Linked DNA regions of Drosophila melanogaster. The protein of the gene in region 3 interacts with the protein of the main gene of each other region in a pairwise test. Each region holds a gene or a part of one and is shown on either strand. Other genes may lie near its edges. The genes, in order: CG8065, CG43996 and CG17778.

Region 1 (4,675 bases), on a different chromosome or scaffold from region 3:
AATGACGGGGGATTCGGATTGCGATTGGGAATTCCAAAGAGTCCAAGGTGGGGATTTGATTGTTAAGCGTAATTTAGCGCAAGAATTTTTATTAAAATTTCCAATTTGTTTGCAGATAAACTTTTATGCTGGCCGCAATGAGTTGACTGGGTGATCGATGGACTGTGCTGCTAAATGGTATAATGGTTGGGCACGCAGTTGAATGAAACCTAAGACTATATGAAGATGACAAGGGAGTTATGAATGTCTGAGCTTTCCCTTTTAGAACAGAGCAAGTTTCCGTGGTCTCGAACTCCCTAACTGCGTTCATTTGACTATGAGCCCAACTATATGAGAAGGCTGCAGGGTCAGAGGTTTGAGCAAGTGGCGCACAAGTATTCCAGGTATTCAAACGGGCAACAAAAGAACAATGGACCCGAGAAGTTGGCAACCAGGACATGTGCAGCCAATGCGCAATATCGGGAATAAAGGGCGTAACACGGCGTATCCTTGCTCAACAGCTGCCATAAAAGTTTTACTCCAACGAGGCCTCCAAGCACCTTCAACACTTGGGGAGGCCACTAATTAAATTAAATTTTCGGCTTCACATTCGCTCGATGAATTAAGTGTCATGTCAAAGGTGAAAGGTAAGGGCTCCATGGGCAGAAGACTTTCGTGCGGAAAGCATTTCCTTGCGAGTCCTGTGGACACGGTCCGTTCAATTAATTTGGCCACAAACTTTGCTCGGGCTGTTGTTTGCCCAATTTGATGGCTGAAATTTTCGGCCCGGAAGGAGTTTCGTTCATGACAAACTTGTTGCTCCCGTTCTTTGGGGAAATTCCCAGGTCTACCGAGTTCTGAACCCTTGTCAAACGAAAAATGAAGCTCCGCTAAGGTGTCAAAGACATTCTGGCCATCAATTTCATCAGATCGGAACCCCTTTCGACAGCTCAATACTCTCGTAAAATGAATTCAAATTCTAATTCAAATTTGGTGCCCATGCATTTGGTGGTTTTCCCATTTTTATTTTTGCATTTCAGTTGAAGTGGCCACTGCACACTAAAATTTTGTCGGTTAATTACGTTCACGGCTAATTGCATTTCTGTGGCTTAAAATGCCGCAAAATTTGTTAACAAAATATTTGCAAAAACATTTTTGCACAATTAGCCCGATCATTGTGTGTTTTATGCCGCATGTCCGTGTGCGTATTCATTATGCGCATTTTTGCACCCGTAAAATGCGAAACTAGGATGCCCGTTTAAATTACAATATTGGCGTTTTTGTGGTTGACTGCATTTTTAATTATCTCAATCGGAAATATCGACAGCGGGGGTGTATTTTTCCTGCTTCGCCAAAGGAGCAGCCCAGGCGAACTTGAAGGATCTTCGCTCCTTTTCAATTGAGCTCCTGCGCTTGGTCACCTGGGTGCTCTTGTCCAGCAGCAACGATAGCTCCGATATAGATGGAAGTTCCATGGTATCAAAGTTCTTCAATGTCAGCGCTTCGTCCACCTTCTGGGTGTACTTCAATAGCTCCCCGTGGCATTTCAGTAGCGTTTTCCGGGATTTACTCAGAGCGCTTACCAAGTCATTATAATCCTGCTTATTGCATATAAGAGGGGCCTTGAGGTTGGATGATAGAATTAGTATTTATAAATAGTATGCTTAGAGAGTTGCCAATACCTTTGATGCGAAACAGAACTTCATGTTGGTTTGGATGGGTCGGACGAAGTTGTCACTGTAGTCGAGGTAGTTTCCTCGGGAAATGTCCAGGTCATTATATCGCTCCAAACACAATCCCGTGTTGTGCTTCAGTTCCTCCTTCCACTTGGGCACTTCGAGCAGCCTCTTGGACAACTTTCTGATGCATCGGATGTTTTTCCGTGCCTTTTCGTCCAGTCCAGTCAGAGAGTCAGTTGTCTCCTTGAGTTGGCGATTTACGTCGATGATCTGCTGTAAAGCTCGTACTGTGTCCTGTTGTACTACTCTCAGTTCGTCGTTGTCCGAGCTAGACTGCTCGATGTCCAGTCTCATCTGGTCACTTTCTGGAGGACATTCGACTTTGTTTACTTGTACTGGATGAATTAGGAGGCTCTTCAAATATAGCACACGTTCTCTCATCCTTTCCAGCTTATCGAAAGTCTTTGAAAGTTCCAACTCCGATGGACACTCCTCTTCTTGAATTGGTATGTTATCTAGAGCGGAGATGCTGCAGTGGGTCAGTTCAGATTCACTAGGAGTTTCTAGCAGTCCAGGAGCCTTGCAGTCCATATTTTTAATTTTTTTTTAGCTTACTAATATATGTTCTGTGTAGTGTGAATGTGTACTAAGTCATGGAGTGCTCTGATAAAAATATGCTATATTACTTTTGAATTTTTTTTATTCAATAAACTTTGTGTGTTGCATATGAATGAAACTAAGAAAGTAAAGAATACCTTCCATAAAGTTTTACGTTTTAACGGTTCTTTAAATTCTTAATTTATTTACCTAATAAAATTACTTATTACCAGGATGTTAAGATCATTGTTTCCAGTTTTGGTATTTATGCCTTCAGCGTTTTAATGAAAATGCCTGGCCAGAGTGCCACAAAGTATGTAGCTCGCACAATGTTGCATGCAGTAGAGATTCTTCTACTTCGGAAAAGGGCACACACCTGAAATTTGGCCAAAAGGGGCTGAAATTCCCTGCTGCTAATGATTTTTAATAGCCAAATTGCAAGAAGCTGATGCTGCAGTGGGTCTCAGCTGCCTTCGTCCTGGAAATGCCTCTTAAAAGCGTATTTGTGGTAAGACTCCAGGCACACACACACACACACACACAAATTCTCTCCATGCGGTCAATAAAGTATGCAAAGTGGTAGCGGCAGGTGAGGGTAAATGTGGGCGGAAATGTGGGTGGAGTGACCATGCTGACCTTAAAAACAAATTAGTGGCGCTTACTCAACAAGATTGAGTGGCTCGTGTATCGCTGTCATCGCCGTCGTCATCATTGGTATTCTGCTTTTTGATCAGGGGCAAAATCAGAAAGGGGGGTTGGATTTTATTAACCAGATGTTATTAAACCCTCAATTTCATAATAATATGGATTTAAATATGTTAGCTAGATAAATCATTTGTAAATAATAGTCATCTAAAATGAGATCTAAATATTAACATATTTACTTTAGCTAGTGTATAACTGTATTTTACTTATTTGATTACCAAATCAATTAAAATAAAGTCAATTAAATTGCAAGCATTGATGAAACCAAAATCCATATTAATGAATCTAATTATGAACCCCTTAATTCATATTTTTTCGCGCCACTGTCCATCGACTGCGTACTTTGCTCTTGCAACCGAAGCAAAAAAGGAGGAAAAAATCGGAACTTAATTAATAAAAGAGCCTGCGGCCGTTGCTCCTTGATCCTGTGACTGCCTACAGCATCCTGCTGCCAGAATGCATCTATTTATAGGACCCCATATATTAAGTGATGAATATTCATGCGTACTCAGGGGCCAACAAGGAAAGAGAACTACGACCACTCCGATGACGCTGCAAATCAACAGTCGAGCATAATTTTTGTTAATAAAAGCGTGTAATAATTTGCCGCCAGCCGAAAACATGAGTCGCGGGTCGGAAAGGGGGAGGGGGGGTGCCGAAATGCCCAGAATGTGTTGCAAATGAAATTATGTAAATGTGACAGCGGCAGCAGCAACAACACAGATGTATCTGCAACTGAATTTTGTATCCTTTTTGGGGCGACGAACAGCGGTTGAACCACGAATACAATGGAATAGAGGGGACACTGGTGGTGGGCGGGCACAATGCCTACCACATTCTCTGCCAAAACATGGCTTAATGTTGATTAGATGAATTAAACATGCAAAGCCCAAAACCAGCAGCAGTTGTTGTCGTATTTGGTATCTCTGGGCCAAACAATAAACGGCAGCATAAAATAGATATGTCCGTCCATTGCGTATTTACTGGGCTTGTGGGGTTTTCTGGTGGAAATGAAATTAGTGCAGCCTTTTAACTTTTGCGCGGCAATTGAATAACTTTAATTGGTAATAAAACTAATACCACATTAAGCCGGAAATTGCGAAACTGCAGATGGCAAAGCCAATAGCCAATTGCCAATCACCAATCACCAATCACCAGGGTCGTTTCAAAGGGGTAACTACACAAATCCGCAATTCCCCTTTTTGGCCGCAAGCTGTTTACGATCCTGCCAACTTTAATAGTAAATAACAACAATAACAAGCGCCGCAGGAGCAGCTGCTCAAAGTTTCAGAACAATACAAAAAAGAAAAGGGAAATTCAGGGAAAACCAGCAGTAGCTATACCCAGAGAAAAATCGGAGGAAAGAAAAGTTGGAAAACACTTTACTTTGATGACCGTCCAAGTCTTATGCTCTCGACGTTGTCGCCATGGCTGCCATTCAAATGGCTCGCTTAATTTTACCCTCACCGCGGGGATTGTGGCAACTTTTTAATGACTCCTGGACATATTGTCCGCCCAGGTTGTCATTTCATCTACGCCTCGTCGGGTGACAGGCTCAGTGCGATGGAATCCACTTTTCGGGAATGCCAATGTGACAGTTTTCTTTTAGGTAAAAAATCGGTGTTTCTATAACCTGGAAATTGTAAAACAGATTCCAAAGGAAGTACGACAAGGTTACAAGAATCTATTAAAGCAGAAAATATGTAAAATTTGGA
Region 2 (3,177 bases), about 17 Mb from region 3:
CAGCTGCATTTCCTCCTTTCCCTCCTTGACCAACATGGCCCACGAATCGGGAAACTTGTGGTGCGACTTGCGCTGTGAACGTGCCATATTCTTGCCCATGCGGTAATCTGGGTTCAAATCCAAGTCACTGGTGTCCAGTACCTCGTCCATGGCGTCCACATCTTGGCCTTTGCGACAGTTCGACTGGACCTCATAGTCCTGGTCCGTCATCTTTTCAAACATGTCCGATTCATCATCGTAGTCGTAGAAGGTCGGTTTCTTTGGTGGACGTCGTCCGTCCACTTGACAGCGCCCGAAAATCACAATGGAAATGTAGATTATCACCAGTAAAGCGACGGAAGTCATTTTCGATAAGTTGTCGGAGTGCTGACTATAGTCGGAATGAGTAAAAGCGGCTGAAACATTTGGCAGAAGAAGGGCTGGCGTACTTGGATTACACATTTCATATAGTATTAATATATTTTTTAAAAGTTGTGAACATATTTAAAGCAAGAGTACATACAAATGGTTTTATTCTTTATTGTAGGGTCTCTTTAAGTATTAATATTCATACAATATTTATTTTATAAATCCGGAGTTATCATTCTCATCACATTTCGCTCGATCTCATCCCGACTGTCCATGAGGCGACGCAATTTAGCATCGTAATCCTCGTATCGTTCTTGATTTTTTTCATCCGGCTGTAATTGCGATGAAGCCTGAAACTCCTCTGATGTTTCCGGTGAGGTCATCCAATATCTCGACTTTGATCCCGTGATGTCCTGGCCGCTGTTCAAAGTGGTTTGCAGCTGGACAGGACCATGGAAGAGTTGCAATAGAGGCGGAACCATCACTCGACGATCCTCAGTAAAAGCTTGTGGCTGGACCTCTTTGTTATCCACACTGTCCTCGAAATGGCAGTTGTCATCAGCACACAGCTCGGTTGCCTCATAGAAATCCGGCTTCTTGGACCATTTCAGACTAGGATGTTCCGTAGGCGTAGTGCCTTGGTTGTTGTTTCTGCATATGTTGTCATTTTTCGCTTTTGACAAGCGGGATTGAAGGATCTGCAGATTATCGGTTATGGCTTTGGTGTGCTTGTGCAGAGATCCCAACAAACAGTTAATTCTCGAAACAAAAGCTTCATCCTCAAAACTAATGTCGTCGTCCTCCTCTTCATAAGCCTCATCATCGCCATTGTCTTCATCACCATCATGGATATCATCGTCATCACTATTGCCCGCAGGATCGGCATTCTCGTCATCGTCCTCGTCCTTGACCATCTTCCTGTCAACCTTGCAGCGATCCTTCTTTTCATACTTCACATCATTCGGATTTTCGGCGGGACATATGCCCGATTGCGAGTCCATGTCGGTATTGACCTTCCACTGATCCCGATCTCGATCGAAATCGTCCTCCATGGCACCGCTTCGTTGCTTCTTTGGCTTTTCAAATATGGAGTTAAAGCCATCAAATGTGTCACCATCGTCAATATACTGTATCAGTTGAGTCAATTGAGTGTGTAGCAAAAGGATAAATATAATGATTATTTTAGTTAACCAGGCCATTTTATTTTGTTAGAGCGTAGCAAATGACATTTAATGCTTTTCGAAACATTTAAACATCAAACGATGATTCCTTGAATTTTAATTGTTTGCTTTTGATTCTCATAAACATTTTCGCTCAACCTCCGGAATGGAAATCTTACAAAACCAATGGATTCCTGTGGCTTTCCTTCCGGTATGTCATCGGTTTGCATTCCTGCGGCTTCTGGCGGCTTCATCTCCTGATGCTTTTCTCCAGCTTTTCCCTGATTTTCCCGCAGTTTCCTGCTGCCACTGACGTCAAGGATGCGGCACTGAAATGTTCACTTATTGCGGTTTTTGTTTCCATTCTTTTACCCCGCCTGTTGTTTACAACCTGCGCACGATTGCCCCAAAGGTGCGACCATGGGCGGGTTGGCATTGGGGGTTGGGAAATGTGGGTGGTGGTGGGTTGTGGATAAAAGGGGGGGGGGGGGTGGCGTCTAACGAATTCATCAGCGCTCACAAAAGATGAAGAAAAATGGTAAACTGAGGCCAAAAGATGGCCACGAGCGAAACACCTACGCAAGCGGAAGGGAAGTCACTCACCATCTCCCACAAAAAACCCCTACACCACGACATGCACTGGAAAAAATGAGGAAGGAAATACAAAAACTTATTTTGAGATTTTGAGATGGTTTATTATAAAAGTTTTTGATTGTCCTCATTCATTCAATCCTATATACTATAGGAAAACATGCATATTTTCTCAGATCTTGAAATGTTGGACAATTTTTTCTTAGTGCATAATCACACCATGCTGAGCGTCACCCTTGCGGAAGTTGCTAAAGGATGGAAAGGATGCCGGTGAGGATGGAAATAGAAATAGAAACGCAGCACAAGTGCTACAGACAAGTCCGATGATGAAGACGATGATGGTGCAGGTGATCCAGGTGCCTCAGGTGGGAGTGGGGATAGTTACGACTTATATGCATCACCGGAGGACGATGGGCGGGGCATGATGAGTACCGCTCTTGGAAAATGCATTTTCAGTGTCGCTTTCCTGCCGTGGGTGCAACAAGCTGTCCCATGAAAATGTCTTTATGCCCGAGCAAAATTGGAAAACATGCGTGCACTGAGGGAAATTCATCGATCGAACTTTTTATGGAAACTACAATTGCGATTAAGGCATCTTAAGTTTTGTTCAATTTGTTATATTACTGTATTTCATAAAAGGTTTTAACTACACCTTTTTCGTTAAGGCCTAAGATTATTAACATTTTACAATAAAAGCTCGTTATTTTACTATTTCTCTAGGTGTAGAGGTATGCTTAAACAGGTTTGCCCCTCAGTTATCATGTCCTCTTAGAGATTTGATTTAATTCCGCCGGCCCACTCTAGCATTTTGTAATTGCTCGACCAGGCGACTTCCCTGCAATTTGCAATTAAACTGCTGCAGTTGATGGCAGTCGTCGTTGGGGAGTCGATTCCATTTCCACAGGATATACAGCGAGCAGGAAAACGCACATCTGTGCGGGAAAAAGTTGGCCAGAGGGAGCTTTTTAGTTCAGTGACATTTAAACTTTAATTTAAAGTGGCAAGCCCTTTTACTCGCAATGGCAATTAGCAGTGAAAGGAGGGGAGAACTAAATGAGCTATTTCTAATTATGTGTTT
Region 3 (5,352 bases):
CACTCACTTTACAATCATTTTTCCGTTCCAAAACTTGCTTTCCGTGGATTCTTGATAAGCTAGAAACAGGAGGTGACTCACCTTGGCTTTGGCGAATCCATCGGGGTTACAGGTGGGCAGGAAGTGGATTTCGGTGAGATTTAGTAGCGCCTGGACCTTCGGGTCCCCATCGTAGTGGGTGGCCAGGTATTCGGCCATATAGAGAACCATCTGACGACCCACGGCTTCATCGCCTTGTATGTTGGCCACCAGTTTAACCATTGGCCTTAGGAGATCTCCATTCTTGGACTCCCCGGTAGGTGCACTTAAGGCTAGGGCGTAGATGGGTCGATCCTCCAGGGATTTGCCTATTGTATAGGTCTGCGCCAAGTCGGGGTAATCCTTGGCTAGCTGGCTGAAAAGATCTCCTATTTCCTCGTTTTTTAGGTAGTGAGGACTCTCCAGGAAGTTGTCCTCTTCCTGGATGACCCGGACTTCGCTGTATTCTCCGACTGCGCAGCCGATGATCAAGGCTAGGCAGAAAAACAACATTTTGGGGATTCTCGGGGACTCTCCCGGAGCGCTCGCAGTTTCTGTACACGTAGGCAGGCAGCAATGCGATGATTAAGACACAAAACGCAGGCGCGCCACTTTCAACAGAAAGTGGATGCTGAATGAATGAACTATTTTCCCCAGAACCACTTTCTTGAACTTTCTTAGTGCCAATTTTTAAACTTGTGCCACAAATGTGGGCACGCCACGCACACAAACGTAAAAAAACACCGACACACCGATGCAAAGATCTACGCACACCCAGATGCGCGCACAATAGAGCTGCAGTTATTGCACTTTCTTTTCGTACACTTTTTTCGCAATGATCTTCTCGCCAGCCTAGGATGAATCAGCGTATATTCGCTTCTTAAACAACTGCCATGATACATACATTTTATTCGCAACACGGAGAATATAAATAAAATCGCAAATGAAGTCACGAAAGTACGCGAACGCAGCAGCGACCACTGTTGCCACTCGGCTGCGATCAGATGACATTGCCAGATGCGACTTAGAGGAGTTGCCAGAAGGTTGTTGTTGACAACCGGATGGCGCCAGATTTAAATATATGCGTTCCTCGTCTCCCGAGGTTTAACTAACTTTTATTTTCTCTAGAGCTCAACAAATAAATCTCCAAAAATGAAACTAACACAAGAATAACCATTGTGTGTGGCCTAAATATGTACGGTCTGTTATATATTATCTTTTAAAACGTGTCGTATCAAAAACTACCTCAAAATACTATTATGTTAAGGCAAAATTTGGAAAAGTGCATTCAGACATTCCGGTTCGTCCTAAAGAACGCATATCATCGTAAATGTTGTTTACTCTGTGTTAAGCATTGTGTTTTTGTGTTCTTAGAGCAGTGAGTTTTCGTTATTCCTGCCTATCACTGGAATAAAACACCAAAAAAAAACCTTAATTCGCATACAATGGGTGTGGTTTTCTTAATGTGTATACATGTATATAAAGTATAGGATTTTTTTCCGAGTCTAAATGCTTGGAGTGGGCTTGCGATATATAGTTACACAGTTGATTGCTTCAGATTGGTGCCAATTTAGTCCCTACATTTGCGTCCCCATTGACACATTTACCGCACCTATTCGCCAGGGAGGCCAATCAATAGGGTCATTGATTATTCATGAATACCAACCCCTGCTCCATCGAGCCCTTTCTCGGGCTTTTTGCGACCCTTCTGGGAGCTAGCTATCCGCTGTTTTAGAGTGTGAAAAGTCTGCTGCATGCTGCGCATTTGGTACCGTATGGAGCTGCTGACGTCACGCTGCAACTGCTGCACCTCGCGAATGTCCTTGCGCAGATTCTGGTACTCGTTGGTCACCTCGCTCATCGACTCGAGCAACTCGAGGACCTCCATCTCGTCCATCTGCTCCATCGTCGTCTGTTCGAGGCTGCGCTCCACCGCGTGCAGTTTGTGGGCCATCGTGTACAGCTGCGATCCTGCATTGGCCACCTTGAAGCAGAGGGAAATGTAGGTTACCTATGGATTAAGTAATTGAATTTTGGCCGCTTCCGTTCTCTCTTCAGCTTAGGGAAGCATTGAAAAGATATTCCCAGGAGAACTTATGATCAAATCCTGATAACAACATCTTAAATTAAGTTCGATAAACTTGGATTAACAGTCTACATTTAGGTACTTTGGACAAAGATCTTAAATACTCATATTTCGGCACCAACTGACAATGTGGCTTATGATTGTAATAGACCGCCATGGAGTGTCCCTAATTTCTCTCACTACACTCTGAGTGCCTATACTTCTGAATGAATAAGTGGCTATTTCTGTTTGCCTGGTCGATAAGCTCACCGATTTTTCCAGAGCGCTGATGTCCTGGTAGCCCGGCGTGGCCTCCATCTTTTCCAGATCCCAAGCTGCCTCTCGACCTCAGCCTCTTGGCATGACAGTAAGTAGTAAGTCAGCGCAGCAAGTCCATACTGCGGCAAATAACAAAATTGTTTTTGCCTAACTTAAGGCGCGTCGTCCGGAGCGCTGACAGTCCAGTCCAAGCTCTCCGAGCAGAGTGAGCGAGTCCTGCGATTGGTCCCACTATTTATATGCTCCTGCACACAAGTTGACTTCCGCATTCCGCAGCAAGAGAGGGAGCGAGAGAAAGAGCGAGTGGCAGTGCTGGTACTTCTTTAGCTTGCTTAAAAACAACGTATAAAAATATGCTATATTTAATCGAATTCTTTTTAGTATATGCTTACACTTTTCGAAGCCAATGGATTTTTTGTAAACGTTATGGATTTCAAATGACAGAACTTTTTTTTTGTAATTCCTTGATTCAACTACCGGTGGGCATCACTGAAGAGCAGAAAGGAGCTACTATTGTCCCATTGAGAGACAAAGCAAACCACTTTCTTTAAAAAAGAGAAAGCCTTTCATTTGTGTTGCATCTATTTCCATGGATTTTGTTTTCCCGGTGCAGGCTAGTCCTTTTGATTATGTTGACCAGGAAGCGGGGCTGCTAGCAAAAGCTTACCCTGCCCGATGATGAAAGCGAACTTGCTATTTTAATAGACCAAAAGCCTAAAAGCAGGCAGACAAATTTTCATTCAGAAAGTGAAAAATGCGCCAGCCTGCTTCTGTCCACACTGCGTTCCAGGAAACATTTTTAGGATTTATCTGTTCAGCTAGGAAGCACTTATCACCTAATTGATTATTTTTTCCATCCTCGGTTAAGCACTAGTATTAATATTTGATTACATTTCGTTTAAGTTCATATGTACATGTGTCCATACGTACATATGTACATATGTACATACGTTGATGGAAAAACACAAATATACTACATTGGATCCGCCGGTGTTTATAAATACCCTAAGCCAGTTCAGCATGTCTAGCATCGAAGATCCAATACACTTCCACTGTTGTACACTTAAAAAGTTGTTACAATCTAACTGGAACACATAAACTGGCTTGATTACCATAAAATTGATTAACCATAGAGTATGCATTTGGGTACTACAATACTACACTGCCGTCACCATAGCTAACATTCCCTTCCAGCAGGGAATTGACAAGAACGCAAACACCGCAAAGCAAGCACTACACTCACACACACATACTCACAACGAGCCCCCAAAAAACAGCAACAGCAACAATTGCGAAAACAGAGCAACACAAAAACAACAGCTGTGCCCCCGGTTCCTAACGGTGTGTGCGGTAGCAAGTTACATACATATGTGCGTGTACACGTGTGTGTGAGCATCAAACTATAACCACTTGCTAATGTAAAGCACTTTTTGACGTGGTCTTCGCCTTCGCCTTCGTATATCAACAATCGCCACACCATGCCAATACCACACCACACCACCATACATTACCTCAAACCTATACAGATATATGTACATATATATTTCCATTCATGTATATGTGTAGAGAACAGTGGAGAATAACTGGCATCAGAAATGGGCGGCTGCGCTGCGTTCAGTTTCAGTGTAGCCACCGTTCGGAGAGCACGCGATCCGATCCCCGCACCAAATTCTCATCTCCGTATCCCCAAGATGTCCCTAGTGCGATTGATCGGAGCAGAGGTGAGTTTCCAATTGGTGGGTGGGTGTATGTCCTATAGGCATGCTAGGCTGCCATCCTCACCCTGACATACATACATACGTGCATCCATCCATCAGCATTTGGATCGTTTTGGCGCTCTCTCTCGTTCTCTCTGACACTGGTGTGGCCGTGAATTCGGTAATTGGCGATGCGATTGGCCTTGGGCATGTAATGTATGCACTTTCGGCGCCCATCTCACACTCCACCCACTCTAGTGATTGGAATGGCCCACGGGTGTGAGCGGCGAACGGGCAGTTGAAAACAACACATGTTACGCAATACGTCGCTGCGAAGCGGAAGAAGTAGAACTAGAACCAGAATATTAAGCAGATAAAGCGCACAAGGCGAATTCGCGGGGAATTTAGCGGTACAATGTTTGAGTTGACGTTAAATCCAATAAAACGCGATAAGCGGTACCTTTCCACGACAGGCGCGCCATGAAAATCTCGAATTTGCCAGATGGACACTGATAAGCGTGGGCGGCTGCCCCCCGCGCGCCTACCACTCAAGTTATCAACACCCAAAAAAATAGACCTCACCCCACATTAAACGGATTTGTCCGGCCGTTGAGGTTAGGATTGCGAGCACTGGGCAATTTGCAAAGCAAATGAAAGGTGGACTAAATGGTAAATTTTTGGTTTAGTATACGTGGAAGTGGGAAAATAAAGTACGCTTAGCGATCGGAGTTCATACCTTTTGTACTGGCTGTTTACCAACTCTTGTCCCTCCTTTATCACCAGGCCCGCCATCTGGCAAAGAGGTCCTACTCTTCAGCCGCTCCCACAACCAAGCTCTTCATCGACGGCAAGTTCGTTGAGTCGAAGACGAACGAATGGATTGACGTGCACGATCCGGCCACCAACCAAGTGGTCACCCGCGTGCCCAAGGCCACACAGGCGGAGATGCAGGCGGCCCTTGAGTCGAACAAGAAGGCTTTTCGCTCGTGGAGCAACCAGTCGATCCTCACCCGCCAGCAGGTGATGTTCAAGCTGCAGGCTCTCATCAAGGAGAACATGGGTGAGCTGGCCAAGAACATTACCAAGGAGCAGGGCAAAACCTTGGCCGACGCAGAGGGCGACGTGCTCCGCGGCCTTCAGGTGGTGGAACATTGCTGCAGCATCCCATCTCTGCAGATGGGCGAAACCGTAGCCAACGTGGCCAGGGACATGGATACGTACTCACTAGTGCTGCCCCTCGGAGTAACCGCTGGCGTTGCGCCGTTCAATTTCCCGGCCATGATACCGCTGTGG

The links.
Region 1: the proteins of CG17778 (region 3) and CG8065 interact in a two-hybrid assay, tested with the Drosophila melanogaster proteins (one large-scale study listed by BioGRID).
Region 2: the proteins of CG17778 (region 3) and CG43996 interact in a two-hybrid assay, tested with the Drosophila melanogaster proteins (one large-scale study listed by BioGRID).

The regions. Positions count from the first base shown.
Region 1 is NT_037436.4:10,213,286-10,217,960, reverse strand, and holds CG8065 (uncharacterized protein), read right to left. Parts: upstream 2,297-4,675; 5' UTR 2,250-2,296; coding exon 1,662-2,249; intron 1,602-1,661; coding exon 1,287-1,601; 3' UTR 981-1,286; downstream 1-980.
Region 2 is NC_004354.4:17,020,694-17,023,870, reverse strand, and holds CG43996 (uncharacterized protein), read right to left. Parts: upstream 1,568-3,177; 5' UTR 1,548-1,567; coding exon 564-1,547; 3' UTR 501-563; downstream 1-500. Other genes in the region: CG43997 (uncharacterized protein), read right to left, coding at 1-345.
Region 3 is NC_004354.4:492,119-497,470, reverse strand, and holds CG17778 (uncharacterized protein), read right to left. Parts: upstream 2,858-5,352; 5' UTR 2,755-2,857; intron 2,694-2,754; 5' UTR 2,402-2,693; coding exon 2,354-2,401; intron 2,003-2,353; coding exon 1,667-2,002; 3' UTR 1,102-1,666; downstream 1-1,101. Other genes in the region: CG17896 (uncharacterized protein), read left to right, coding at 4,054-4,083, 4,843-5,352.